Pelodiscus sinensis: one gene and its partners. The protein of the gene in region 1 binds, or shares a complex with, the protein of each later gene. Links are inferred from orthologs where the notes say so. Each region holds a gene or a part of one and is shown on either strand. Other genes may lie near its edges. The genes, in order: F2, F2RL2, FGA and SERPINE2.

Evidence for each region.
Region 2: the proteins of F2 (region 1) and F2RL2 are in contact, whole or in part, in a crystal structure (PDB 2PUX), measured with the Mus musculus proteins. The link is inferred for Pelodiscus sinensis from reciprocal best matches to the Homo sapiens genes F2 and F2RL2. Residues at the interface, in NP_034298.1 of Mus musculus: Phe379, Gln384, Glu385, Leu386, Leu420, Arg422, Arg428, Thr429, Arg430, Tyr431, Arg433, Lys437, Ile438, Ser439, Met440, Lys467, Pro470; in NP_034300.3 of Mus musculus: Thr46, Phe47, Glu48, Glu49, Phe50, Pro51, Asp54, Ile55, Glu56.
Region 3: the proteins of F2 (region 1) and FGA are in contact, whole or in part, in a crystal structure (PDB 2A45), measured with the Homo sapiens proteins. The link is inferred for Pelodiscus sinensis from reciprocal best matches to the Homo sapiens genes F2 and FGA. Residues at the interface, in NP_000497.1 of Homo sapiens: Phe382, Lys384, Ser385, Gln387, Leu423, Arg425, Tyr434, Glu439, Lys440, Ile441, Ser442, Met443, Lys470; in NP_000499.1 of Homo sapiens: Trp52, Pro53, Phe54, Cys55, Ser56, Asp57, Glu58.
Region 4: the proteins of F2 (region 1) and SERPINE2 are in contact, whole or in part, in a crystal structure (PDB 4DY7), measured with the Homo sapiens proteins. The link is inferred for Pelodiscus sinensis from reciprocal best matches to the Homo sapiens genes F2 and SERPINE2. Residues at the interface, in NP_000497.1 of Homo sapiens: His406, Tyr410, Pro412, Trp413, Trp455, Arg456, Glu457, Asn458, Leu459, Glu509, Thr510, Ile542, Asp562, Ala563, Cys564, Glu565, Trp590, Gly591, Glu592, Gly593, Cys594; in NP_006207.1 of Homo sapiens: Val225, Arg288, Ser355, Ala356, Thr358, Thr359, Ala360, Leu362, Ile363, Ala364, Arg365, Ser366, Ser367.

The regions. Positions count from the first base shown.
Region 1 is NC_134714.1:84,406,364-84,413,842, reverse strand, and holds the start of F2 (prothrombin), read right to left. Parts: upstream 3,001-7,479; 5' UTR 2,986-3,000; coding exon 2,941-2,985; intron 1,760-2,940; coding exon 1,618-1,759; intron 1-1,617. UniProt on the Homo sapiens protein: Thrombin, which cleaves bonds after Arg and Lys, converts fibrinogen to fibrin and activates factors V, VII, VIII, XIII, and, in complex with thrombomodulin, protein C. Functions in blood homeostasis, inflammation and wound healing.
Region 2 is NC_134716.1:85,336,817-85,344,784, reverse strand, and holds the start of F2RL2 (proteinase-activated receptor 3), read left to right. Parts: upstream 1-4,956; 5' UTR 4,957-5,562; coding exon 5,563-5,626; intron 5,627-7,787; coding exon 7,788-7,968. Other genes in the region: ras GTPase-activating-like protein IQGAP2, read right to left, coding at 1,184-1,274. UniProt on the Homo sapiens protein: Receptor for activated thrombin coupled to G proteins that stimulate phosphoinositide hydrolysis.
Region 3 is NC_134715.1:56,885,647-56,892,721, reverse strand, and holds the start of FGA (fibrinogen alpha chain), read left to right. Parts: upstream 1-4,067; 5' UTR 4,068-4,082; coding exon 4,083-4,147; intron 4,148-6,722; coding exon 6,723-6,846; intron 6,847-7,075. UniProt on the Homo sapiens protein: Cleaved by the protease thrombin to yield monomers which, together with fibrinogen beta (FGB) and fibrinogen gamma (FGG), polymerize to form an insoluble fibrin matrix. Fibrin has a major function in hemostasis as one of the primary components of blood clots.
Region 4 is NC_134720.1:16,707,823-16,715,421, reverse strand, and holds the start of SERPINE2 (glia-derived nexin), read left to right. Parts: upstream 1-4,587; 5' UTR 4,588-4,719; intron 4,720-7,546; 5' UTR 7,547-7,599. UniProt on the Homo sapiens protein: Serine protease inhibitor with activity toward thrombin, trypsin, and urokinase. Promotes neurite extension by inhibiting thrombin. Binds heparin.

The DNA of each region.
Region 1 (7,479 bases):
ACAGCCCCCCTCCCCCCCCCCCCATGGACTTCCTGGATGGCAGCCTGCAGAAAGTGCAGCCAGGCTCACAGCAACACATCCAAGAGAAACATCAGAGTGCCCAGGGACAGCTCCAGCTCCATGTTTCAGAGTGTTGTGGTGTCCCGAGTGAGGGCAGCCAGAGCATGCAGAGACAAAATGCTTTGCTGTTCCTCTTCGAGGTAGGCAAGCAAGCAGGGAAACCTGAGCTCTGGCTGTCCAGAGGGGGTCCCTTTAAGCACAGACCTCAGATAGCCTCAGGCAGCAGCCACACAAAGTAAATCCTGACCTGATGCCCTGCCGGACCTGGTTCCAGCTGGCCTTAAATGCGATTTAGCATCCACTCAGTGTAGACACGCTATGTTGAAATAGCAAAACGCTATTTCGAAATGCATTGTATGTGTAGACGCATTATTTCAAAATAAGCTATTTCGAATTAACTATTTCAAAATAGCTTATTTCGAAATAATGCTGTAGTGTAGACATACCCACAGGGAATGGAAGAAGCTCAGCAGAACCTATCCAGTCCACCCTGAGGCCCGGTACAGGATTAACCTGCCTGCAACCTATGAGCTTAGGCTGTGATCAGTCCTCGATGTCCCACCGGATAAGCATGCACCCCTGCCCTGTACATTTACTTTGGCAAGGCCACTCATCTAGTTCACTACTGAGCCAAAGCTTGTCTACTTGGAGCATCAACTCACTGTCTTTGTGGTGCCACAAAGACACTGGTTTTCTCACTCAAGCGTGACTTTCTGTAACCCCATCTAGGTGGGATATGTTGGAAAAAATCATTTCATCTGCCTGTTCAGAGACCCCGACTTCCAAACTAGCTTCAGTCTTCTCTCATTCCTCTGCATAGCAGTGGAGCTGAGGAGACAGTCAGGAGATCCTGTCCGATGGGACCCTGCCCCACATCAGGGGGAGACAGGACGGAGGAAGCAGAAGCACTAATGCGGAACAAAGGAGGCGCACCAGACACCAGGACACGTCATATTGTATATGTTTGGTGTGAAATAGGGCCTAGCCTGTCCTAAATGTGTTGCTCTGAGAGCCAGAGGGGCAAGGGCAAAGTGGAGAACAGCTGTCTCCCCTGCCCCGCGCCCCCATGCCCCCCTCCACCTCCAGATAACACTCGTCACCAGGAGAAAGAATGTTCCCGGCCCATGAAACTCCATATGTGGCCAATACAAGGCACAGCACTGATTAAGATACTGCCCCCCACCCAAGTTCTTTCATGCTCCAAGACAAGGGGCTTTAGATGTCATAATAAGGATGATCCAACAAAATCCAATGAGCTGTAGCAGGCAACAATTCTACCCACCGAACTCCATCCAGCTCTTCCCTCGAACCTGGGAACTGCTGCTTCTCCTTACACAGCAATAGGGAAGCCCTATGCTGCCCACCTCCCACCCACCCATTTTTTAGCATGTAAAACTTACTGTCTAGCTGGAACAAACCGCTGGCTATTCCAGGGACCTTCAACCTTTCACAGGCTTCCCCTTCCAGCTGCAGCTTAGGAATGAACAGTCCCATTTGTTTTTCTCAGCCTCCTACCACCCTGCCCTTCCCTCCCCTCAATACCCAAGGAGTCCTTACCACTGTCATGGCTCAGTCCAAGGTGCAGGAGGCAGAAAAGGAGCAGGCTGCCCAGCACTCGGACTCTGCTGTGCCTCATGGTATATGCTCCCGCAGCAGGGAAAATGAAGAGGGTGCAGGACAAGAGAAGTCCCAGCCCTGCCTGGGTTAATGTTGAACCAACATGAAGAAACAGGATCCAGGAGGTCACAGTGTGTCAGGGCCAGTGGGGCTGAAGCTCCTGCTGTGCCTCCTGTGCTTGGCTTCTCTCCCTCCCCTTCGTGCATTTTCACTTTCAACCATTTTACTGATCCGAGCAGCACAACACCACAAGAACAACACTAGCTTGCTCTGACAGTGTGGTCATGACCACCACACTGGGGGCAGGTCAAACACGAGAGACTGCAGCCTCAACTGCGGGGAGGCCAGGGTCAGCACATGACAGGAAAGCAGAAGCAGACAGAAAAAGAAGGATGCTCCCAGACTACCCAGCAGCAGAGCCAGGAAAGCCCAGCCCACTTTGGAGTTAACATTGTTGAAACAGCTCCTTATTTTTCTCCCAAGCCATCTTAGCTCCCATCTTGCCCCATTGCTATTGGTTCTGTCACATGGGCTATGTCTACACTATGAGCTACCGATGTGATTCCCAACACACACACACACACACACACACACACACACACACACACACGCTCATTAAGAGTAGTGTGAGTATAAATAGTTGGGTGGCCATAGTAGCACAGGTAGTGGCAGCTTGGCACAGAATACTTGTGCTGAATACTTGCCCAATGGGTTCAGATGGATTTGTACTCAGGACAGCTGAGCCATGCATATGTGATCTGGGAATCAGCTGCCTATCTCAGAGTAGACACAGCCATAGCCTCATGTACAACTCCTCCCCTCACATCCAGGCAGACACCTAATCCTCCTGTTCCTTCCTCTCTGCTCTGCCCTGGTCATCTTAGATTATTGAAGCCTCCTCCTCTCTGGTCTCCCCAATACTCCCCCCTTCCCCCCCCCACACACACTCTTCCACTCCATCCAAAATACAACTGCTAAGATTCTCTTCCTTATTCATCAGTCCCAAATTATCCCCCACTAACTCCCTTTTACCATCACATCAAGTTTACACTTTTTATCCTTGCCTCTGATGTCCTATACTACTCCATCATGTTTTCAGGCTGGATTTCCTCTTAGCCCCCTTCTCACTCACTCTTCTCCTTGTGGCCCCTTGCACATGAAACAATCCCACAATCCCCCGGTGGTAGGCCCCCCAGCTCTCCTCTTCCAAACCCCTCACTAAAATAATGTACGAGATCAGGAATCAGGATGAAGATGACCTACCCCTATGCTTGTCCTCTCCTCTGAGCTTGCTGGGCATTGCATCATGATGTCCTCAGAGTAGGGACTGATCCCTATAGAAATTTAACACAAAGACAGTGCTTTAAGGAAGGGAACTTTCTCCCAGCCCTTCTCCATGCCTTAGTTACAGTCTACCATTCAGGATTCCATTTTTTCCCTCCTCTCTGAGCACCATAACTGGTGGTCTGCCAGAGAAACCAGCTCCTCTCCCCTCCCCCTCCCAATCACCAAAGAGAACAGGGGGAGGGAGAAGGAGGTTAGCAGCTGCTACTACAGCCCATTGGAATTCTTTCCAATTACTTTAATAAAGCTATTCCAAATCCCTTCTCCCACAAAAGGGCAAAGAGGGCAGTGCTGGAGGCCCCTTTTACCCTACACAATTAGGATGGTACTAAAAAAGATGAAACCAAAAAGAAAAAAAGATGAAACTAATCTGCCGAGCAAGAAACTAGGCAGATGGACAGATAAGCCCTGGGCCTAGAGACATGGGGGAGGAGGCTGCTGAGAACAGGAAGGCAGGATTAACCTGGGATTTGTGAAATCAAAATGACTAATGAACCCAATAAAGGTCTAGTGCTTCATATAGCGCATTAAAGAATAGCAATGTGGCCATCACCAGCGTGAGCTTCCTCAGAGCAGGGCCAACATGGAGCAAGCTCAGAGCACAGAGAACAGGGTTGCTAGAGCCTAGGGGACAGTGGCTCAATACGACATTCTTTGCTATATCCCGCTGCATTCACGGAGCATTTTTCTGGTCCATGCATTAATATATCTTCTAACTAGTGTTTACCTACATGGGGGAGTGCAAATATTAGTATTGGGACAGCCAAAGAAATGGCTCTTTGGCTAGGGGTACAAAGAGCACTTACATAGGCTCCCTCCCCCACCTGAGAACAGGGGTTACAGGAAGAAGCAAGTCACACCTGGGGTGTTTGGGATAACCCCCTAGGATTCTCTTAGGAAACAGCTGAGGTGCCCTAGGTCAGGAATGTTGTATGATGGGTCAGAGATCAGCCTGGAAACAAGATGTATTAGAGAGAGAACAGCAAAACATTAGAGAGAGAAATGAAGTGGGGCTGGAGAAGGGAGGAGGATGTATGGAAAGGAGAATCCACACTATTGGGACAGCTAGGAAAACAGAGCCATGAACTACAGCCAGAGTCTCTTGCACAGAGGGAGGGGTTAATGACACTAGCACTTTCCAAGTCACAGCCAGGAGCAGGAGGGTCTTGCCCAGCTGATTAACAGCAGGTCAGAGGGAGGCAGAGGATATTGCAAGGACCTAGGCTTAGCCCTTGTGCTCTTCTACAGTCCCTACCTTGACAAACCAGTTTGATTTTTAGGCCTGAGCTACAGGACTGCAGTGGCCTCAGGACTCCTATCACTGAGGAAGGGTGGTCTGGCCTGACTAGATGGGAAAGCAGAGCCCCCAGGCTATCAGCTCACACCACAGCATTGGAGGAGGGCTAAAGTATCTCTATATTTCAGCTACACCACTCAGTTGTCTTGCTTATGGTCTCCTGCCTTACTAGAAGAAAGCAGGCAACTGGGGTCAACACAGGGAATAAAAGAGGCTGAAAACCAGGGGAAAGGACACTGCAGGACTCCTGCAACTGTACCTCAGTCCCCAGGAACCATAGCAGGGGAGAAATGCCCGGATCACAAAGGGTGATCTCTGTTTCATTAAGGTCACTTTGTAACTGTGTCAATATTTGCCAACGCAGAGAGCTGGGCCAGTCACCCAGAGTCAGGAGTGGGAACATCCTGAACCAATCATTCTAGTTTCAAAAACAACCTCCATTCACACAGTTTAGCAGCAGCACTGGGCCTAGCTGCACCCTATTTTCATAACAAAAAAACATAGTAGCATGAGCTTTCGTGGGTAAAACCCACTTCTTTTATCTATGAAAGCTCATCATACATTTTTGTTAGTCTCCAAGGTGCCACAGGATTACTCATTTTTAAAGTTACAGACTAACAGGGCTACCCCTCTGAGCCTATTTTCATAAGGACTATTGAATAAGGGTGCATCCAGCCGTGATAAGGTGCCAGCAAAGCATTTGAGATGGGCTCTCCTGTCATCTTATTCAACATTAATTCAAACTGGCTTGGATCCGGAATCATTGCCTGGCCTAAAAACTGGCTAAAAGCTCTTAAATTAAGGGGAATGATACATGACAAAGGAATGAAGTACAGGAAAGGATTTAAAGAGGAGAGCCACAAGAAGCAGTAGCAGCAGTCTGGTCTTCCTACTGCTTTAGTAACATTCCAAAATGGGAAGTAAAAATACTAACGACATTCTTGGTAGTAATCGGTTACATGGTCCAATGTGCTAGTTGGAGATGTAGGAGTAGGGAGGGAAGGGTGCTAGAGGGCTCCCAGATCTCCACCCCCATGGGGCTGCCAGCTCCCACGCTCCCTAGCAGAGTTTAACTGTTAATGGGAACCAATAAGCATCAGTTTATCAGTTAATTGGTTAACCTCTTACATCCCTAATTATTGGGTGAGTGTAAATAGGAAGAAACTGGACACCTATCAGAATAATCCTAAGGGACTGTAAATGGGCAGGCCTGTTCTGTAGAGCCACTTGCAGACCAAGCTTGGCTCTACAGCTCCTTGCCTCAGGGTCCGTTCACTGTCCACAGCACTTATGTCCAGTAACAAACCCTCTTCTTAGGGTCTGCTTTAACATAAAACCTACTCACAGTAAGGACTCTCCTATCCTTGTCTCCCACTGGGCACAGCCCTACATCTCTCAAGCCCACCTGTCACCAAGCTCTCTACCAGGCTCTATTCAGTCTTCTCCCTTGAAGTCAGGGTGTGGTACTGGCCCCTTTCTTGGGCCTGTATTTACTGGATTCTCAGGTGGCTCCTCCAGGAGCTTCCAAGCAGCTTCCTTCCTGAGCCTTCTCAGCAGCTCAGTTTGCTTATGTGCACAGTAATGGTCCCTGAATCCTCCTGAGAGATCTTGATGAAACTCTCATGGAGGTATCATGCAATGCTCTCCTGGAGTTTCTTACTTCTTCCTCTGCAGTAGGACATTCTCCACACTACTCACGGAGAACTTCGGCAGATACCATGCAGTGCACAGGCTAACAACATAGGGTCTAGGCAGCTTTGGAACACCAGCAGCAGTGCACTGTGCCTTTGTAACATTCAGGAGTGAGATATCAACTAAAAGCACCATTGCCTGCAGAAAATGGTGCCACCTTTTAGGGTCATTGCCCTACACTCCAGTGCCATGTAGTGGAGTAATTCCCTCCCCATTTCCTTCACCTCTGGCAGCCCACACTTTCCAGGGCTGGTGCTGTGAGTGGTGCCACACCTGAGCTCTCCCAAGCAGAAGTGTCAATGAGCACGTCTTGGTTAAAGGTTACAGGGAGCAAAAGAAGGGCATTCTGAATCAAGTTTTGCTTTCTGTTATGATTAGACTGACAATGGTACCTCTGTGTGCTGCTTATCTGCAGCTGCTGCCTTGAAGAGGTCCTTCTCCACACAGGATGCCTGGGCCAGATAAGGATGAGAAAGAAGAGTCAGTATAACATGTTCAATGAGATTCTGCAACCCAGTGCTGCATCAGACCATCTGGGCATGGAGGGTGAAAACTATAGGCAGCCTAGAGAAGGAAAGAGCAGACAGGAGAAAGGTTCAGGAGTCTGAACAGGAAAAGGAGAGAGAAATGCACCATGACATAACAGGACTTCCATGGCAGCAAATACAGATGCTGCAGACCCTTGTGGACCTACAGGTTCAGCTGTTATGCGCTTGTCTCCTTTTTCCATCCATGGAGAACTCCACCACAGCACCTCCCTTCACACACACTCCAACATTCCACGTAATGGCAGAGGAAACATATTTACCCCTGCCACTCAACCACAAGGTAAGGATTTTTGTAAATGGTGAGCCAGTTAAATGATAGTACTTGACTGGTTAACTATTGTAACCAGGGTCCCACTGCAGCCATGAGGTCCTACCACCCACCCCATCAGCCCTGCTGCCACTGGAGTTAACTGGCAAGAGCTGTTTAACCTGTCAGCATTCCTACATAAGGACATTAAGGACAACAGCAGTTTCACATACACCAACCTGTGAAAGCCCTATGTAACTAAAATGGATAGGAAAGTTCTTAAGTTCTTTCTCTGTAAGTTCCTTTCCATTAATTTAGTAAATTTTAATGTATTTTCTTTGTATTAAGTTAGAGATTTGTTTGTGCACTGGTTTTGTTAGAGTAAAATTCTATTATTTGGAAAATAATTCATCACTATTAGTTCACAACACTGCTGCAGTGCCTAGCACTTGTGAAAATATCACTCATCACTGTACTACAGTATGACAGCTCATTGGATCAGTGACAAAGTATAATATTAATAAATACCAGAAACTGCTAATTTAAAAGGTACAGAGATAGTATTGGTGTATACCAAGTACCAGATAATTCCTAACAGGCCCCAAAATATCAGGGGCAGGTAGAGAAAAAATATACCACAGCGCATTACTGTGGCTAACTTTTAAAGTGCTCTG
Region 2 (7,968 bases), on another chromosome or scaffold:
AGTCAGTTCCCAAGCGTGCTGGACTAGAGAGGTTTAACCTGTACTTATATCAACCACAGAAGTACAGGATAAATCAGAGTAAAGCAAGCCTATGAAGCAAGTCAAAATACTATAGGTATTAGACAAAAATATTGACAAATTACCTAAAATATGAAAATTTTACTTTAAAATGCCATTTAATTCTTAGGCGGGGGAAGTTGGAATGTAAGGGATTTACTGTGCCAAATAGTGATTAAAGTGCGTTTCACATAACCAAGAGATACACGCTTCAATTAAAAAAATTCCAGCACTTTCAGACCAAAGACAGTAAATAAAAAGCCTCTTCAAGACGTCACAGCTTTTCTCCCACGGTGTGTCAGAAAACCAATGTTTGTCTCCAGCTGAATCTTTAACTACTACACAGCATTCTTGATTTGGAATTCCTGTACAGTTTGCATATTTATAAAATCTTCAGATTTGTTTATATTCAGTCTTTTAAAAAAGTTCTGACATTGTACATATCCTGGGTTCAATAGCATAACTACTATCTTCTTATAGATAGTAAGCAAGCTGTTTCATTCTGAATTGTCATTTCACCACCACCACCAACAACAAAAAAACTTGAAAATAATTTGAAAAATTAAGGGCAAATGATTAAGTTGGAGTATTTACTGGTATTTGTTAAGAGTCATTGTTTGGAAATCAGAAATCTGACTAATCAAGGCTGTGACCATGTAGGAATTCAGGTTGCAACACAGGTCAGGATTTCAGACTTATGTACAGGACTCCTTACAAGTGTTTTCCATTACTACACACAAACTTGTCAAACAAAGTCTTACCATTTGCTTCAATTAGTCTCATTGAATCTATTTTCATATCTATACAAGGGAAATTAATACACAGTATTTCACCGGCTCTGAATATGTATTGGCATTTGAAATCTGTTATATCATTTCAGGCAATAGAGATAGTCAAAATTCCTAAATAAAACACAAGGACAACAGTTTGAGAGCTAATTAAATTATTTTACATTTAAATCTTATTTTAATTACCCTGAATCTTTCTTTAATGAAAATAGGATATTTTCCCCCTATTAACTAACTTGTCCAACATACTAAATTGTATATGAATAAAGAAAGTTAGAAATCTTCTCTTTATTGTGAAAAAAAATGCAATTTCCATGTAGATTCAGGTTGATACTTACAATTTGCTGCTTTTTCTATATTCCTATTAGCATCGTTGATTCCTTTTTGTATTTCATCCAGCCAGAGAACTGGTGATTCATCATGTGATCCCTGGGGCAGATTAATAGAAAAATATTTACAGAACAGAAAACACAAGTCAATCTGAAAATACACACTATTAAAGCATCAATAAATAAATAGAAAGCTCTTCTGAAAGCCTGAGGGGATACTAAAGAGAATTTGGCTATATGAATCTGGCAATTAATACAAATAAAAGAAAAAAATTAATCTATTTTTCATAACAAAATGCAAAGTATCATTTAACATCTGAAAGCTCGGATCATTTTTATTCCACCAAAGAAAGATGTAGATTTCTGAATAAAGTTAAAGACAATTCAATATCCATAATTCACCAATCAACAAAGGAACAGAAGAATTCAGTAAGACCACTAGACAACAATATGATTTCCCCAAGGACAGCATAAATCCAAAAGAAGTTTACAAAAAAAGTTAAGAGCTTTGAAAGAATAGTTAACTGGAAACCATGTATATGTGCAGACAAAAAAAAAAAAAAAAAAAAAAAAGAATAAATAAAAAAAAAGAAGACCTAAAAAATTGTCAGTATGAACTTTATAGAAAGAAAGCTCAGATTTAGTAATGCCAAAATTGCTTTAGTTTCCTGAATTGTTTGAGAACATGAATTAAGGACGAGGGCAGGCATTTTTCATTAAAATCTACCAGTTATCAAATTTTACCTCGTATGCAATACACTTCTTTTGTGCACCCCCATTTGCAGTCCAAGCTTACGGCATTTGGAGGTTTAAATGCCTAAATACACAGACAAACTGAAACAGCAGACACGATTTAACACAGAATTATGGGCACAAAAGAGGAGATCTTACCAAGATCAGACTGAAGTTAAACTCAATTAAGGTGTTCTTAGTGCATTCATCACCAAAGTAACTGTGCACGGAAAATCTAGGATGGTGTGTTTCACCCAATTTCTAGCATGCACATCTTAAGTTTTGGGTACAAGAGAAGCAGAAATGCGAGAGGATACTCCTGCCAGTGATCAGCTTAAAAAGCGGTAGATGGTACTGCAGGGAAGATTGCTGTAGGGGGTATTTAAATAGCTTCAGTGTGCAGGAATCGAAGTCCACACCTATTAACAACTGTATGTGAAAAGCAGACATAACAGTAAAGAGAGGAAATAGGCTGTGTGAAAGCTCTTTTGTTATAAATGTGAAACATATTTGTGTGGTAAGTGTGACAAGACATCTATCCATGCGCAACATATGTATGTTTTTGATTGGCAGTTATACATGAATTTTCTTATCGTGAAGTGTATTTGATGCTGATAATAGAGAACAGAATAAACTGATAGTGAAAAATCCTTAAATGGCAGAAGAAAAAAAAAAAATCAACCTCTCGTTTAGTTACTGTAATGTTTTTCTCTTCTTCTCCACCACAAGTTTGTTATGAAATTTTACAGCAAAAACAACTGTAAGCTTGTAGAATGCATTGCTGTTTGCTTTTTTCTTTATAAAATTACAACAATCTCACATTAGTCTCAGTATTTTAATTCCAGCATCCAGTTCAACGATTTTTGAACCAAACAAACTTTTAATTAACTCATAGTACACTTTACTTCCTACGAACTGTAATGTTAGGCACAAGCTATGAAGGACAAAGATTTCTGAATACAAATGCCTTAGAGAATCAACTATACCTCAGACTCATTAGGAGGTGTATGCTGCAGCTATTACAAATGAAAATTACATTGCTTAAAAGAGTACTATTGAATGATGAGTCAGTATTAAGGGTCACTGAATTTCAGCTAGAACCTTGGGATTGGGGAGTAAGGACTGGAATATAATTCCCATGGTTGCAATTTTCCTCAAGAATTATAGTGCTGGTAAACATACAACTCCTGGGCCAGATGATAATTTGTTCACTTAACCTTACCAGTAAGATAGGTGGCAACCAACATTGCACAGCATTTTGCAGTTGCCTGCTGAAAGCTGTCATGTGACACACAGGAAGCTTTAAAAAAATAATGTTTGTTCGTTCATGAGTAGGAACTGCTTAAACAAAGCAGATGGGACATGAACGACAGCCTATAGTACACAATGTCAACTGATGACTACTGGGCCGATGACAAGCTAGAATGGAGCGCTGAGAGTCTGGGGGTATGTTTACACTGCAGAGTTTTGTCGGAAAAACAGCCATTTTTCTAACAAAACCTGAGTTAAGTCCACGCAGTAATTGTGTTCTTCCGAAAGTAAGTCAAAAGAACAAAGGGTTTTTTCCGGCATTGGTAATCCTCTTTGAGGAAGAAGCCTTTTCCGAAAAAGCTCTTTCAGAAAAAGGCGTATGTGGACGGGGATGAGGGAGCTCTTTTGAAAGAGGAGGAAAGAGGAAAAAACACAGATGCCCTTGTGGCCACTCTGTCCATAATAATCATAGCTTAAATGTGAAATAGCATCCATTCAGTGTGGACGCTATCCCTCGAAAAAGCAGATTGCTTTTTCAATGCGCTTTGGGTGCGAATGTAGGGATAACATATTAAAGTATTAAAAATGATTCCCCCAAGTGGAAGTGACTCCCCATAATTTGTTCCCCACAACTAAAAGTCTAAGTAGTATAAGTTTGTTAAGTAGAAGAAGCATATAAAAGTGTTTAGATTTATTCTTGTTAAAGTGCTTAGATTTAGTGTTATCAAGCTTGATAAGTGTTTAGATTTATTATTATTATTATTAGTTAAGATTGTTAAATGTTTAGATTTATAATTATTGCCCCTCTAGAATATAATTTGTTAGGAATGTAATATTAGGTCATGCAACTTAAAACTGTTAAAAATATAATACTATGTAGCCAAAAACAGCTCCCCTCTCTGTGTCCCAGGGCGCACACAAACTTTTGCAAGTGGCTGCTTGTCAAGACACTAACTACTCTGCTCTGGGAGCCAAGCCCTGTAATTGACTAAGGGCCTTCTCTTCAAAGCATTGTAAAGCAATTAACCCTAATCGCAAAGTGAAACATTGTAACTATAACAGTAACTAACTCAGCAATCAAAGAATGTTTTAAGAAATGCCACCCAGAAACTTTTGTAACTTTTTGTAACTACAACTCTTGTACATGTAAAATTATTATTATACAAAATACTGTATGTGAAACATTAATTAGGGAATGTATGTAAGAGAGAGTGCTTGGACAATGAATGAATGGTTTGAGAGGTGCCAGCCTGAGAATGCAGCATCAAAGGGCTGAAGAAGGCATCAGGTGCCAGTGCAACCAAAAGGTGTCAAGTGGAGAAAAACTGGAGACTGGAGGTCCACCCTATGAGATCACTGACAAGCACCTGGCAGCCACCCTGAAGACATCAGCATGATGCAGCAATTCCCATAGACTGGAATAGGAAGAAATTCCTGTAAAGATTGGACCAAAAGACTATGGAGTCAGAGTCCAAAATTCTGCTGCCAGTCCACCAGGAGCTTCAGATGCGCATCTGATCAGGACTTCGCTCCCCACTACCATCACTTGTGTACAGAATACCTGGCCAGTATTCTGTCACAAGCAACTTCCAGGTTGGTAACTATAACCTGAATGATTGGATGAATGTGTGTGTGTGTGTGTGTGTGTGTGTGTGTGTGTGTGTGTGTGTGTGTGTGTGTGTGTGTGTGTGTGTGTGTGTGTGTATATATATAAATAAATAAATTATCTTTCCAATAAATGTGGCTTTTTGCCTTATCCCCCCTCATAAGATCCTGCTTGCTTTTATTGGTACAACATGAACGCGCTCTCTCTTTTGGAAGAATTTTTTTTCAGAAGACCTCTTCAGAATAAAAGTTCTGAAAGAAGCCTGCAGTCTAGACCCAGCCTGAGTGAAACATGCTTGTATTATTGTTATCTAGTACTCCCTATCCTGCAATGCCGTTGTTCCCTGTTGTAATTAAGTCTGTAAGCTTCTAGGACATGGACTTTCTTTTTACTACATAATAGCACAACAGGGTTCTAATCTTTGATTGAGAACATCAGGTATCAAATGCGGTCTCTGAAGATTTTAAGCACCAATATTTTCTTCTGAATATTTTCATGTATAAATTCAAATAAAGCAGAAAGACTAAAAAACGTCATGGTAAATTAGGAGTTAAATTACAGACATTAGAAGAGATTAAATTGCTTTATGTCAGCCAGAGGGTGAAACTGAGTCATGTGTATTTACATATTCAGATGTCACACCCTATTGCTGTACTTGAGAAAACTAGTTAAGTATGATCGTGGAATGCTTCTGGACGGCAGACCTAAAAACCACAGGGTTTTATTAAAAGATGTGGATTACAAAACATTTTCAACTGAATTAGAGAGACATTTTGCCAACTGGATTTAACCTGCAACAATGAAAATATTGGTTTTAGTAATAACTGGATTGCTGTCTCTGTCCTCAAGTCTACAGAAAAAAGGTAAGCTTCTGGTTCTAGATGTATTTTATATTGTCTGTATATTTTAGCTTATATCATGAGCATTGGGCTTATCTTTTAGATGCTTATGTCAGTTATAATACCCCAACAGCTGATACACAGCATACAAAGTCCCAGCTGAGACAGATTTTGATTTCTCTACTTCATTTATCTTTTATTTCTCCCCAGTGACCCTTGATAGTTTTGCTAATTGATAAAAGGCAACTAACTGGTTTTGTGTTTACTGAAATGTGGTTTTCTGCATAATCTACCTTCTACTACAGTGCTTGTTCCTATAGGGATGTCACTGTACTGAATCTGTGGAATCGCAGCCTGTGCATAGAAAGAGGAAATCATAAATACAGGATTAATGCTTCGTAGAAGGTGCCACTAAAAGGAAAAAACTCAGCTGATGGGGCAAATTTGTATCAAATACCTGGGGGGGATGGAAGGGGATTACAAATCCAAAACATTGGGCCCAATCAGAGTGTCACTAGAATTTGTGGGGAAAAAGACAATGATTTCAGTGGGAGCAGAACTAGTCATTTTCAGAGATAAATTGCTTTTGAATTTATTTAAACATACACTGATACATAAGTCTCTTTAAAGGGAAGTCAGGACCAGAGATTTGACTAAAAATGATAAAGCAGGGGTGGGGAACCTCAGGCCCGGGGACCTTCATCCAGACTCTGAGGCTCAGGGCTCCCCCAGAAGTGGGGAGCCTGCGCTGACACTCCAGCCCCTCTGCTTCCCCACCGTGGGGTTGAGGCACACCAAATCTTCGAGGCTGGACCCCTCCCCTCCCTCCAGGCTCTGATGTGGGAGAAAAACGTGGAGAGTGTCTCTAACTTGTGCACGGACCCTGACTGATTTTTCTGTGGGTCAGTGGCTCCTGCCACAAAAAAAGGTTTACCACAGGGGTGGGGAAGTCTTACTCAAATCCACTTCCTATGCATACACCGTCATGGCTGCCCATTCTAATTGTTTGTAATGTTTGGGCATAAGTATCATTTCCTGTAATTTATTTTTAATCCAGAAGAAATTAGTTATGTCAAGTTAGTATAAAAAAGTACTAGGATTCAAAGATTCATACAGGACTGCTCTATACCTTACATTTTGTTCAGAATTTTGGAGCTAGGATTTTATTATATAGTTGATTAACAGCAAAAACTTCATTATGGCCACAAATTCCAAGTGAAAGATGCAATATAGGTGCAAAGTAGGATCATTGCTGGTTTGCAATGATTGATATTTTAAAGAATTTAGCTGACATGTTTCGAGAACAAAATGTTCCTAGACATTCAAAAAGGTGCATATACAAGGCTGAATATTTTTGCTATGGATATGCCTTTACAAAATTCTCTGATCACCATTACCAGGGTTGTTGACATTATTAGAAGAGGCTAAATATACCCATTAATCTTTGACTAGTATGAGAATGTTTACTTTTGAATACAATTCTGCAAAGCTACAAAAGTGTAATGAATTGTATCATGGTTTCTTCATGCTAACAGGAGGGAATCTGGTCAAAAAGTAAAAAGCCGAAGAAGCTAGCTTTATTAATTTATTTAAAAAGAGGATGAGGACAAGGGTTTTGGAAGTTATATAGGTATTCAAAGATAAAAGTGTAAATGTTTCTAAGTGTAGTTCTAATTTGAAAAATGTGTATGTAAAATGGCACCATCTTAAACATATTTGCCTTTTGCATAGTTATATGTACTTGTTTAAGTGACAAAAGCCACTATTTTATTCCTGTTTGCACTGCTGAGCCAATACATTTGAGGTCACATGAATCAAGAAATCTAGTCTCTCTCTGCGCACTATCAGCATGGTTTAGCAAATTGAAAAAGATACACCTGTAGTTTTTGCTAGCAGAATTATGGCTATTCTTAAAAATAGGAAAAATCCAGTGGCATATTCAGGGCTGAGAGTCCATTTATAAATAAAATTATGAGGGGTTTTCCTGACCATGTGATATAGAAATCAGAGACAATACCCCACAAAGCCATTTTTATAGAATCATTCTTCAGATTAAAGTTACAGTATTTATTTCTCGGGGGCAGGGGAGGCGGAGAGAGGAGAGAAGGGGGAGAGGGAGATCTGCATCATGACTGTCCCAAGTAAATACCTTGTATTTTAGCTATTTTCTTTTTTTAAATCTTAGAATCTAAATACGGTCGTAACAGCTCTGCAAGTCAAGATGTGCCTGATATTAAGACCTTTCGTGGAATACCACAAGGCACTTACGATTATATTCCCATTTCTGATATACAAGGCTGGACAAAGACTGTTCACAACAAAGAACATAAATGCTCTTCAGGGAAGTCAAATGGCTCAATATTGAA
Region 3 (7,075 bases), on another chromosome or scaffold:
ATGTTCTGAAAGAGGGTTTTTTCCTGACATTTGGCCCCATGTAGACAGGCCATATGTCGGAAAAGCCTCTTTCGGAAGAAAAGCAGAAAAAGATACGCAAATTGCGGTTGCCTTTAAGTTTTTGAAGCACTCATTTACTGTACGGATGAGTCCCACAAGAAAGCCCATGAGGATTTGAAAAGTGTGCTATAAAAAAGAGCAGAGCCATGCACTGAATGATGAGGATAAAAAAATATCAAATATGAGCTCTTGAGCCCTGTCAGTTCTGCATACCGAATGAGGCTGGCATGCTGCAAGAGGAGGAGGGGAGGGGGCAAATAGCATGTGATCAGATAGTTAAAGACTATATCTTAATGCAAACTCACAAAGGAGCCGCCAAATGAAGACTGCACAGGCTATCTGAATGATGTTTCTCTAAAAATTATTGAGTGCTTTGTTTTGCAGCCTTAGAGATCTTTGCACATAAGTTTTATTTTGTGTATTTTTATGAATTTTTCTCTGTATTGTGGTCTCTGAGCCGAATCCAGACCTCACTGAAGACAATTGGGGTGTGTCTAGACTACAGGGTTTTTTCAGAAAGAGTGGCCTTTTTTTCTAAAAAACTTCCCCTGCGTCTAGACTGCCGGTGTGTTATTTCGAAATTAAATTGAAAGAATGCGGTGGTTTTTTCAACTGTGGTAAACCTCATTTTATGAGGAATAACACCTTTTTTCAAAAGTGCTCTTTTGAAAAAAGGCATTATTGAATGCAAACAGAGCTTTTTCAAAAGAGAGCATCCAGACTGCCTGGGTGCTCTCTTTCGAAAAAGCAGCTCGCTTTTTCTAAAGAAGTGGTTGCAGTCTAGATGCTCTTTTTCAAAAGAGGCATGTAGTCTAGATATTGCCTTGGAGACTCCATGGACCTCAATGGATTTTGGATAAGGCCTCTATTTATCAGTTCTTGACATCAAATTGTCAAAATCCTTTTAGTGTTTTCTTTCCTGGCTTTAACTATTTTGCTTTTCTCTATGTCTTTTCTATTCTAGTGTTGTTATGTTACTTCTGAGACAGAAGGAACAAAACTGAAGAGGATTCAAAGTGAGAGTGCACCATTAATCATATCATGCTGAAGTTAGAAGATAAGGTCCATAATTTTAATGGTATTTTAGAATTGCTGTGCCCAGCATTGCAATACCTCATTCATTTCACAGCCTAACTCTCATTTTCAAAATGGATTTAGGGGCCAAAATCCGATTTTTAGTCTGTGGGATTTGCATCTCTAAGTGCCTATATTGTTTTGAAAATATGGTTTAGGTCCTTAATCAGTTAGATGTTGCAACACCAAGCACAATAATGCCAAAATGCCTTTACAGATCTAGGCCTAAGGAGTCTATTTATATGTGATGTCATGTTTATGCATGAGGATCCTTACATATATTTTTCTGAAGTAATCTGCCAATACAATCATTATAGACTGACCTGAAATTTATGAAACTCCAGTTTAAGGATCATTTTACACATTCACTGCTGAAGCTATAAAAGACTATTTAATCATATTACTCTTATCTACAGACTACACTTCAATAGATAATTTTACCAGATGTAGCATTAGGACCCAATTAATTTAAAAATAATAAATCAAACAGAAAGAAAGACAACAGGGATTTGTTTTGCACATTTTCTTCACCATGGATCAGCTTGATGATCACTTCACTAACCCAGGCAAAGGGTGTTGTCCTTCTTGGAGTCCAACACTAGGTCTGCTTCCAGACATAGTGTATCAGACAAATTTCAACCTGAAGTAAAGCAGGTTAAAATGTGGCAACCATTCAGCCCTCCACTCCAGGGTCACCATGTCCAAGATGCCTACCAATGGTCAACAGTCTTTCTGGTGCAATTCCTATGCCTCTGTTTCAAGAACTTCATAACGTTGGCAATTCTCCAGTTTTCTTGCAGCTCTTCTCCCACAGCCCTCAACTCACATCTTCTGGCCCCTGCAATGTCCCCTCCCCACTCTCCTTTGCCTGTGAGTCCTACCCCTCAGTGCTCACTCAAACTTCCCTCCAGAATCAACCTCATTCCTGGGCTCAGCCTGCCTCTGAGGCTATGTCTATGCTATGGAGAAAAAAATCTGCTGCATCCAGGGAATGCGTCGGCTCTTCCAAAAAAAATTTCAGAAGAGCAGACGTGCTCTTTTGGAGGCTCTGTATTCCTCATTTTATGAGGAACACGGGCTCTTCTGAAAAAGGAGTTTTTTCAGACATTTGGCCCCATCTACACGGGGCCAAATGCTGGAAAAGCCTCTTCCGAAAAAAGAATCGGAAAAATGTATGCAAATTGCGGTTTGCAATTTGCATACCTTTTTCCGAACCCTCCCTCCCGTCCCCCAGGAGTGTAGACATAGCCTGAGACATAGCCTGTTCTTTAATCCAGTAGGGAGGTTCAGCCAATGAAGTTTATAAATACCACAAGCACAGTTGTTCACCATCAGAATCTATAAACTCTGCCAGTATTTAAAGTATGCTCATGTCTCTGATCAATATACAATTTCATGTGAACTGAAGAACCATCCTTATTAATTCTTTAGCAACCTCCACATGGACCAGATTTTAATAACAGAAGTCTATAAGATTTCAGAGCCCTAAAAAAAAAGTAAAGAAAGGTGAACCAGTAAAAGCATATGAAATATGCATATGATATGAATATGCCATAACTCAGATATATCATAACTCAGATATGCTGAATGCAAGATGGCTTGTGTAAAATGTTATTGGAAAGGCTATAATTTACTGATTATCCCCATTTGTACATATGTATCATTTTTGTAGATTAAGTTAGGAATATTGACCTGGGTATCTGTAATTTCATATTTACTGCTTTGGGTGTTACGCACTGCTGACGCTTCAGGTACAACAATGAAAGAGGTCATAGTGCTGATGGCTCATCAGCAAGAGACAATGAACTGTAAAAGAGCTTTCTGGAACATGAGAGTCAGATCATGAAGAATGGCTGCAGAGACATGTAATGGAAGTATTGTAAGCAGGATATGAGAAGTCATTCTTCCGCTCTACTCTGTGCTGACTAAGCCTCATCTGGAGTATTGTGTCAAGTTCTGGGCACCACATTTCAGGAAAGATGTGGAGAAACTGGAGAAGGTCCAGAGAAGATCAACAAAAATAATTAAAGGTCTAGAAAACATGACCTATGAGGGAAGACTGAAAGGACAGGATTTGTTCAGTTTGGAAAAGAGAGGACTGAGAGGGCACATGATAGAATCTTTCAAGTTCCTAAAAGGATGTTACAAAGAGAAAAATTAGTCTCCTCAGTGTCTGATAATAGGACAAGAAGCAATGGTCTTAAATTGCAGCAAGGGAGGTATAGATTGGACATTAGGAAAAACTTCCTAATCTTCAGGGTGGTTAAGCACTGGAATAAATAGCCTAGGATAGGGATATAAAAGAGTAGTAGAATAGTCAACTACCCAATAAGCCTAGGCTACTTGCATCCCTCCCCCCCTTGCTGCCTCTATATCTGGGAGGGAGCAGGAGCCAGTACTGGTGAGATCTGGCTTAAAAGCCGGTTTCCCCTAGCACTGTCTCTGCAGTGCGGGGAGGGGCGGGGGCAGAGGTGGGGAAGCAGAGGCACAGTGGCCCTGCAGCTCTGCCTTTTAAATATAGTAAGAGCCACAGAGGTGCAGCACGGGATCCGGTGCAAGCCAGGACTGAAGTAGTCCTTGCTCGCGTCGGATCCAAGCAGCTCTCACTACATTTGAAAGGCAGAGTTGCAGCAGTCTGGACTCAGCATGAGCTGGGACTGAAGCAGTCCCGGCTTGCGCCAGGTCCCAGAACTACTCACCCTGCAGCTCTGCAGTTTAAATGTAGTAAGAGCCAGGCTGCCTGCTGGAATACTGCCTACAAAATACTGGAACCCATATTGATTTCTGTACTTTTCCATGAGAAGCTGGGTGTGAGTCAAACTTGAAACAAAGGACTCCCACCTTAAATCCTATTTAAGGGTGGGGAGTGAGGTAATCTTAGTTTTCAGTCCTCCCTGGCTACCTCAACCAAGATAACTGTTGGAAACAACTAAGTATGAACTGAGGGAATGATTGGGCCCAGGCTAGAAGGGTGCCTGGCCTGTGAGGGAAGACTATTTGAACCACATTTAGGGTGAGATCTTACATATAATTAGTTTGTTTACTGAATTTATCTTAGCCTGCATGTTTGTTTATTTTGCTCAGTTATCTACTTTGTTCCGTCTGCAATTAACCTAGTGAAAATAATTACTATCAGAGGAGGGGGAAGGAACCTGTGCATATCTCTCTTTACCTTGAGAAAGAGGGCGAATGTCATTAGCTTACACTGTATATATCTCTACACAGCCTAAGACAGATTTAGTTTAGATCTCAGAGGGACTGTATACTTGATTGCTGTGGAAAGGTCTCACAGGGTACGTCTACACTGTGACGCTATTTCAGGATACCTCCGGTATCCCCAAAACAGCTATTCTGTGTTATTTTGAAATCTAACGGGCTCACTATTCTGACGTCCTTGAAAACCTCATTTCATGAGGATTAAGGGATGTTTCAGAATAGTAGTTTATTACAAAATTTGGCATTGTGTAGACAACGCCAAATTACAAAATAAGATATTTTGAAATTAACTTGAAATAAGCTATGCAATGTGTGTAGCTCAGATTGCGTAGTTCATTTTGAGTTAAGGGTGCAGTGTAGATGCACCCATACTGTACTGCTTTCAGACTGTGTCTGCAGCGTTGGGGTTTTGCCCTGTCCCTGTGTCTCAACTGAAGCAGGCCAAGAGCTAAGCTCAACAAAAGAGGGTTATAGGGTGTCCAGGCTGTCAGAGGAAACAGACTCAGTGGTGTCTCAGCACGTCAGGTGACAATCTGAAGGGTGTCCCTCCTGACCCATCACAAACATATTTTCTTTTGCCTGACAACCAAAGCTCTTTAATAATGCAACGGAACCTTCATAGACTAACACATTTTGAATAAAAAGATATGTTGAAAGAACTTTTTGTGTTACCAGGTTATTCGTTTAACTAGTTTCTTGTATAATGGTATGATCAAACATATTGATATAATTGAAATTGTCACCATGTCATAGGATTTTAGGTAGGGTGTGTTCATTCTAAAAATATTTCTCCTATGCTAAAGCACTCACTTCATTAAAATTATGAAAGTATGCACTATATTGCCATTAAATCAGTGATATTAAACAAGACTAAACCAATCCCTGTTTCCCCAGAAGAAAAAAAAATGACTTGAGAGAAATAACCCTACTACCACCAAATCCTATCTCATAATATAGGACTGTTCTTATATTTTCTGTTCTTCACATTTTCCTTTAGAAGTGCCTGGACCTTAAAGTGCATGGTCTACATACAAGCAAGTGTCATTAGAAAACAGCTTTATCCTCTGTTTCTGCTCCCAGCTATGTAGAGGCACCAAGCTGCTGTACAATTGATGTTTATAAATCAATGTTTATTTCAAAGGAATAAAGTGGAAAACAGGACACGGGATGCTTACTCAAGGAAGATTTACTCAGTCATATTTCTTACATCTACTAGTGCAAGTTGAAAACCATGTAAAGCATTTCATACTGAAGTTTTCTTTTCTTTTTAATTTTTAATTATATTTTAGTGTCCAAAGAACATAAACCCTGGGACAAATGTATTTCATACTAACCAAACACAGTTCAATTATAAAAATGTGTGAATAGCACTCTTTAACATCTGTAGAGACTGTCTGGTTTGTCCAATATACATGGCATTGTTGGCACATGATGGCATATATCACATTAGTAGATATGCACGTGAATGAGCCTTTGATGGTATAGCTGATGTTGTTAGGTTTTCTGATGGTGTCACTAGGATAAATGTGTGGATAGAATTGGCAATGGGGTTTGTTTCAGGGATAGGTTCCTAGATTAGTGTTTCTGTTGTGGGGTGTGAAGTTGGTGAATATTTGCCTCTGCTCGGGGGGCTGTCTGTAAGTGAGGACTGGCCAACCTCCCAACGTCTGTGAGAGTGAGGGATCATCATCTCTGATAGGTTGTAGTTTATTGATGATGTGAAGGAGAAGTTTTAGTTGGGGGTTGTAGATAATGGCTAGTGGTGTTCTGTTGCTTTCTTTGTTGGGTCTGCCCTATAGGAGATGACTTCTGGCTTTATTTGACTTCAGAGTGAATGTTGTCTGAGACTGACACAGAATCATGAAATTGGCAGAGCTGAGCATGGGTCTTCCATAAAAATATCTCTCAGTAACTGGTTTATTTTGATGACCATATAGTTCTTGAATTAACAATTATTAGACTATGATCTTGCTTCTTTTACTGCACTAAGTAGTCTCTCTGACTTGATGTCCATGGAGTGTGATCATACAAGTAGGAACAATTTGGTGATTTTTTGACTGCTTAGTCATGCTATTTAAATACCAGATTTACAACATAGATATCTTCCAGTGGTTAAGTATTATTGGATCTTTTACATGCATGTTATTCCAAAATTTAGTTATCAGAAACTAAAGCTGTAGACTTTCCTGGAATGTGTGTTCCTTCCTCCCACTCCCTCCACTTCCACCCCCGACTGGCATTGCACAAATTTATCTAGAGCAAACAAACTCAGGCGCTTGTGCAAGAGGCCTCAGGTAACCAACTGGGGGTGGGTTGCATGTAACTCTGCAAACAGAAGGGAACATAATGATTAATCTAAGCTATCCATGAAGGTTTAAAATGAAGCAAAAAAAACAAGTGGAACGTATCCTTTCTGTCAGACTCCTCCTCACCCTGCCACTGAAGATGATACCGCTGAGGATCTTGTGCATGTGGCTGTGCCTCAGCATAGCCTGGGTATGATTTTACTTTATTTGATTCTTTTGATAGTTTGGCTTTCTCTTTTTAAAAAGGGGCATTTTTATTGAATGAACAGTCACACAGCAAACTGACAAAATTCTCTTTGGTTATGAGGTAGCTTGAAAAATTCACACACGTACACATGAACACAAGTCTCACCACTTCATCACCGGCGTTTCCCTCTTGAGTCTCTTCTGCATTTTATTGTCTGTCTGGTTCCTCAAGA
Region 4 (7,599 bases), on another chromosome or scaffold:
CTGCATCAGTTCAAATCCAGTTCATTAGTCTTCTCATTGTAACCACTGATACTTTTTTACTTTTATTTTTATGGTGAAGATAAGGGAGTTAAAGCATTTTTTACTTTAATAAAGAATTGATATCTGGTTCTAAATATAGCCTTGTAACACATTAGATATGAGCATGAAGTTTTCTATTATTTGTTTATGTAAAATTTTGGTGCACATAAGTATCTTTCATATGATTGAATTCAAATAACAAGATATATATTCAATTCAGACCTACATGCAAATTCAGGGCCAAATCTTGTCATCCTTTCTAAAGAAAACTTCTATTGAAGTCACTGGAGATTTTGCTTAAGTAAGGCCCGTAGGATATGGCTCATTAATTTTAGCTTACATGCAAAATCAATCAGTGCTAATACAAAATAAGTGACAGGAGTGATGCATGATATTTTCTTTACATGCCTGTACAAGTGTTAATAATTTACTTTATAATAGGTACTAGTACAATTATGTAAGACCATTAGTTTATTAGAAAAATAGTGATTACTTATCTGGGCTGGAGGCTGCTGCCCTCTGGTACCTGATCTTATATTGACTGTGCACTATGGCAACCAGAAAGGGGAAGGAACAAGGCTGCTTTCTAGCAGCATAATTCCAAGCCTTTGTTTACAGCAAGCAGCGTTATAAATACAACTTAAAACCATTTCAGGATAATTTGGTTGAAACACTCTTGGTTGTGTCAACAATCTGTATTTAAGCAGACCTCAAGTGTAAAATTTGGATTCCGATTCAAACTTTGCCAAAGGTTGAGAATATTTAAAGGTGCAGTTTTGGTTTGAGTCTTCAGAGAATAGGGGACGCTTCCTAATGGTCCATACAGCTGGTCAGTCACTTGGTTCTGGCTTCTTAGCCTTATTCCCAGAAGCTAAATCACATTAAAGTGTTGTTAAAAATACATTCCTAATATTAGGCTGTGTGTACACCAGAGGGTTTTTTTTGGAAGAATGGCTGTTTTCCTGACAAAACTTCACTTCTGTCCACACTGCAATTGTGTTCTTTCAAAAAAAAAAAATCGAAAGAACAGAGGGGTTTTTCCGACATTGGTAAACCCCTTTCCACGAGGAAGAGCTCTTTTGGAAAAAGGCGTGTGTGGACAGGGAAGAAGAGCTTCTTCCAAAAGAATAGGAAAGAGGAAAAAGCACAGGTGCCCTGATGGCCAATCCGTCCATAGTAATCACAGCTGGAATGCAAGATAGTGTCCATTCAGTGTGGACGCTATCTTTTGGACAAAGCTTTTCAGAAGATCTCTTCCAGAAAAGCTTCTTCCGAAAGAAGCCTGCAGTCTAGATGTAACCTTAGTTTTCTATACTTGTCATATGTATGCTATGCAATCATGAATGGAAGATGAGGGGGATCACCCATGGAAGGAGGGAACGCATCCATGAATCAAACTTTACATTAACATTTGGTCTACATGAAAAAAGAGTTTGAGAATCACTGTATGACAAATGCCAAACTATTTGAAATTCAAGGGGTTTTAAAATTTTGCTTTAAACTCAAAAATGGGTCAATATTTGCAGACAATGTCACTAAAGTGTGCACATTTTTCAGAGGGGGAAGAGCATTTGTATTGAAAGCTTTCAAAAATACCCATTTTGGAAGATACTGCCAAAGCTAATAAAGCAAAACATTATGGAACATTATCTGTCCCCAACAGGGGGAGGTGAGGATTTTGTGGGGCCCAGGGCAGCACAATTTCTCGGGGCCCCCCTTTGACACGGCACATGCACGGTGACGCCACGGCACATGCGCGGGGCTTCTTGAAGCGTGGATCCCAGCACCGCTTGCCCTGCCCTATATCCGCTACTGGTCCCCAAATCCCAGTCCATATTGCCTTTCCACTGGCCATTTACTCAGTTGTTCTGGAACTGAGGGCACAACAGAGAGGGACAGGAAAATTCTCCATAGCGCACATTGCTGCAGAGATTCTGGGGTGCTCCAGATTGTGCAACAGTCCATGAGCTGCCCTGAGGAGGCTGCCATAAATTAAAGCATCCTCCTGGCTGTTGTAGTTTATGCAGGGTTGTGAATACAAAAACCCAATGGTGTAAAGATGGTTTACACCATTGTCCCTTTTTTGCTGGGCAGAATCTCCTTTGCTGTGCCTGCAAAATGAAAAAAAAAAAGTGTAACTTTTAAACAGCTCTAATATGTAAACATGACTGCTACACTCTACCAGTCTCATAAAATGATTATTTGTTTAGCTTGCCAAAGACCCAAGTGGTATTAACAAGGCTGTCAAGCTCAACAGGGCTGTCAGCCAATGTTAAGATTAATGTGTGTTTCCCAGCATAATACTTCCTCCTTGTCATGGTGCCATAGATGGCATCACACTGTAAGAGAAAGGCCAAAGCCCCCTCAAAACAGAAAATCAGCCAGCTCCAGGTAGTGACAGTTGCCCCGTGACAGAACAACATGAGATTGAACCCATACAAAGTGTATGTGTGCCCTAGTTTAGATTAGGGCGTTTATTTAGAAATAGCTACCTTATTTCAAAATAACAAGTGGAACATTCACATTACCAAGCCCGTTATTTCAAAATGGGCTGGTTATTTTGAAATAATAACTCCTGCTTTCCATGAGGAATAACACTTATTTTTAAACTTACAGACTAACTCAGCTGCCTCCTGAAACTTATTTTTAAATAATTATTTTGAAATAGTGGTAGTGTGGACACTCCACTTCTGCTACTTCAATAGTGGACACACTATTTTGAAATAGTTATTTTGGGAGTTACTATTTCAAAATAACTTATTTCGAAATTTCCTAGTGTAAATTTGAGATGAGGTGGGTGAGGCAATATCTTTTATTGGACCAACTTCTGTTGGTGAAAGACACAAGCTTTGGACTGTGCACAGAGCTCTTCTTCAGATCTGTTTTCAAACTGAGTAAACTCTACAGCTTGTCTTACCAACTGAAATTGGTCCAATAAAAATACTACCTCACCTACCTTGTCTAATAATCTGAGACTGACAAGACAACAGCAACAGTACATAGAAAATGTATGTGTGTGTGCTTCATTAATTTATTCACTGCTGGACTAAAAGGTGTGGGAGGGGAAATGATAATTTTACCTGCAAATAGAAGTAAGGGAGTTAATAAGGCAAGAGGGGAATAGTTGGGAACAATCCAACAGCAAGGAGGATTATCTGAGGCTGAGATGGGGGAGTTTAGTACAGAAGTGGAGTGAGGAGTGTTTTCAGGTTGGAGTTCTCCTAGATAGGTGGACTGGTGAATCTGAGGTAAAGATGAGCAACCTTTCACACAGGCAAGACGGTGAAGAATGTGGAGCAGGGAATGAGGATTTTGGAAAAGATGGGTGGGTGTTCTCTGTATGACAAACCATGTCATGGGTAGGGGAGGAAAACAGACTAGGGCACTGATGAAGGTTTTACCTCCTAAAGTTTCTTCATTTTATTACAATTTATTTTCAAACTTTTCCTAGTAATTGTAAGGGATTTTTGAGGTTTAGATTGCAGAACTCCCATATTGCCCATGTGCTTAATCTCTCTGCCCCTTCTTACTATACTGTAAGAAGTACTGCACTACAAAAACTGTCAAATGCCCCTGTGCGAGGCCACAGAGGTGACAAAAAGTGCAGGGCCACATGTGGACCAGATGAGACGGGCTGGGGCTGCGGGTGGGGTTTCCCTCAGAAGGGGGGGGCTAGGGTAGGCGAAAGACGGTTGGTTGGGGCAAGGCGTTGGGTTTTCAGAAGGACCGGATTGGGCGGGGTCTAGCAGGGAGGGCGTGGTTTGGGATGGGGCGGGCTCTCGGTGGGATTGGGTCTTCCCGAGAAGGCAGGATAGGGGCGGAGTTCTGCCAGGTGGGGAAGAACTAGAGTTTGCTGAGGGGTGGACAAGGACATAGGGTTTTATGTTCTGAAACCCACTGGCTGCTCTAGTGTGGAGTAGAGCTGCTGCTGACTCCATATCGTGTTTCTATTTGAGTGATGTGAACTGGAACCTTCAAATGGGGTGTATGGATACCAAAGCCCTCCTACAGGTCAGATGTAGTCAGGTGAAGGGTGTGGTCCTAGCCTCCCCAAACCAGCAATGGTGGCTCCTGCGCTAGCTACCACAAAAAGGTTAAAAGTGACTGGTAGGTGTGTTCAGGATCATTTTAATATGGCACTGGGAGGGGGAATTTGGGGCAAGCCACAAGGGGGAGGCTATTTTTGGGTGGCAATAGAGGCGGTGGGGGGCCGAGGGGGATATTTTATGGGAAGGTTTGGGGGTGTCCCAAAATAGAGATTTGGGAGGGGAACAGGTGTCAGGATCTGTTTCAGAAAGGAAGAACTCAGAGAGGGAAGGGTACTGTGAGGGCCACGTGTGGACCAGATGAGGCTGGGGCTGGGGCTGCGGGTGGGGTTTCCCTCAGAAGGGGGGGGGGGGGGCTAGGGTAGGCGAAAGACGGTTGGTTGGGGCAAGGCGTTGGGTTTTCAGAAGGACCGGATTGGGCGGGGTCTAGCAGGGAGGGCGTGGTTTGGGACGGGGCGGGCTCTCGGCGGGATTGGGTCTTCCCGAGAAGGCAGGATGGGGGCGGAGTTCCGCCGGGCGGGGATAAAAGCCGAGCGCGGCAGCCGCGGCGCTCAGTTGCTGAGGAGATTTAAAGGGACCGGGATCGCCGCGGCGGAGCCTGGGTTGCACCGGGCGCTAGCAACAGGGAGAGCAGGTGAGAGCCCGGTGTGGGGACCCGGGCGGGCCGCCCCCCGTCCCTTGTGTGAGTGCGGGGGTTCCGGACGGCGTCCGCTGCTAGCTCTCCGTGCCCTGGGGCCGCGCCCAGCCGTTCCCCGTCTTCTGGCAGCCGGCGCCCCCCGGTGCCTGGGGTCCCCTGACTTCCTGCCCCGGGGCGCGGTCTTGTTCTCCCCTTGGGTCCCCGAGGCCTCGGGACTGAGGCATCCGGCCCCGCGCTGCCTATCGCCTGCCCTCCGGTGGCGGGGGGCCGGCTGTCTTCCCTTCCCCTCCCCCACTGCCCACCCCGGTGACCGCCCCGGCTCGTGCAGGGCGGCTGGCGCTACAGAGCGGCTGAGTCTTGCTCCAGCGGTACTTCCCCCTCCCTGTCCTGGGGCATCCGTGCCGGAGCCCCCGTCTGCACTCAGCCAAGGCCAGGTCCGCCCCACGGAGGGTAGCGCCAGTGGGCGCCCGGGTGTAGGCCAGGTGCGTGCAAGCTACCTGCGCTTTTTGTCACCTCGGTGGCCTCGCACAGGGGCGCTGGACGGTTTTTGTGGTGCAGGTGTGGAGAGCCATTGACCCAAACTGCAACCCCGTGTTTGATGGAAGCCACTTCCAGCCAGGAGGTGCTGCTGCATCACCACCACCTGTCCTGTGCCTAACAGTGGCAAGGGATTAAAACACGACCTAGGGCACTTAGTTTAGATGACACCTACTGTGGCTACTGTCATTGTGGAAACAGTGGGAAATTGCTCCTAAAGAAACTAGAGTGGACACTACTGAATATTTGTGGTGTTGTTAATATCAAAATACTGACAATAAGGAGGGCCATAAAAGACCGGACTTGATTCTCTTTTCGCTGACTCCCACTAAAGCAAATGTGGCTATACTGGCCTTCTACAGATGTAAGGAGGACACAAAGAGGACCCCTTTAGGAAAGGGCAAGAGAGGGAGCTATTGGATTAACACTTGATAACCAATCTTACAATGCAGCTTTATACTGTAGCATGTACTGTGTCTTCAGAACATTATCATGATCAATAAAAAGAAGAATTACAAAGCTTAAAATAGAAAAATGAGAGGACAGGGAACTCTGAGGTATAAGAAGGCGAGAAACATTCTTTCTGATTATACTTGGAAATAGATGAGAATCTGAGCTGGGCATATATAGGAAACTGTTCTAGTCTAGCAGGATAACACCCTAATAAAATAAAGTTGATGTTAATTTATGGGCATACTGTATATGCCACTAATGATCGACTGGATAAAAACTGAATGTTTCCAACCGTGTTGTTATTCTTTAATACACGTCTAAAAATCATTTTAAATGTTATTTTTATTTGTTAATATTTATTAAATATCTATCTGTATGTTAAAAACAATAATTAAGATTTTTTTTCTCTAAAAAGAATTTAAACAAATTGAATGCATACAGTTGAAGTGCTGGACAGCCACTTCTTTGGTGGAGGGCACTAATCAACTGATGCACAGGGGAAATCTTGAGCCAGTAACACAAGAACAAATCCTTGATCTTATGAAAAATGCCATATGATATTTATCCTTCTAACAGACAGGATCTTTGTTGTGTGGCTTTTGTTCTTAAAGATTTATGACCTCCTGTTCTGTATAGAATTGTCCAAATTCTCTAGAGAAATTTTGTTCACTGTTCTGGAGAGTACATATGTGGAAAATCTTCTACATGGAATATTTATTGGCAATTATAATTTTGATAGCTCCCACCAACATCAACTAACTGATCATAGGAGGAAGTATTAACATAAGCTTTCAACAAAAATTGAAATTTGGCTTATATTTGAAAATTTAAAGCACCATGCAAGTTCTAAATATTATGTGGTTCAATTGCCTAGATCAGTGTTTCTCAACCAGTGGTGCAAGTAGGGGTATTCGAGAGAAGTCTGGGGGGCACGTCAACATAACTGAAATTTGGAGAAAACTGAATTTTTGTTTTAAATTTTACAGTGCTTTATTATATTTGTACTTTTTACACCCAAAAATTTCATCACCTGCCCTGCTACAGTTAAGTTGTTTAAACAAATATGTTGCAATGGTAGAAAAAAAATTCTGTCTGCAAATTATGGTACTGGGGGGTACTTACCTTTTTTAAAAAAAAAAAAAAAAAAAAAGCTACTTTATAAAAAAAAAGATTGAGAAACACTGGTCTAGATCAGCCTGATCTGTCTTTTCTAGTGTATTTAATGCCACCCCATGTTACAGAAACAATAGTAACAAAAGGAAGCTGCTGCATGACTGGGGTACTTCTGACTGCTTTATTTTTTTGTTTAAGTATATAGCGTCAGCTTAGTTTTTTAACCAAACTCCCAAGAATCAAATAGCTCTAGGCCCTGTGAGTTAATTTAAAGATAAGTCCTAGAGCTATTTAGTGCCAGATCTCACTCCCAGCACTACAAGAGGTTGTTGGTCCAATCTAGTGATGGATGGATTAGTCTAATTTAATCAATACCAACTTCTTCAGCCAGTTAAAGAATAGTGTCTTCTTGTGGTCCAGGAAGACCTTTTCAGGCCCAATTTAATCTGAATCTCAAAGTATGTGTGTGTGGGGTGGGGGGATGTTTTGTTTTTGTTATGTCTGGAGTAACTTTTCTTTTGGCAAAGGCGACAATACATTTATTAACTTGTTAGTTAACAACTAACTGGTGGTGGAGAAATACAGCGAGGAAGATGACCAGGATTTCTTGTCTGGAGTTGGGTAAACGATACTACTTTCTTAATGAAATACAAAAGAAAGACTGAGTATATATCTGAATAGCAAATTGTAGTTAACTAGAACTTTTGTTCCTTATCTTTAGAGCCGTGCAGATCTGTGGATATCTGCTTTATATCTGTGGGCGAGGATTGGATG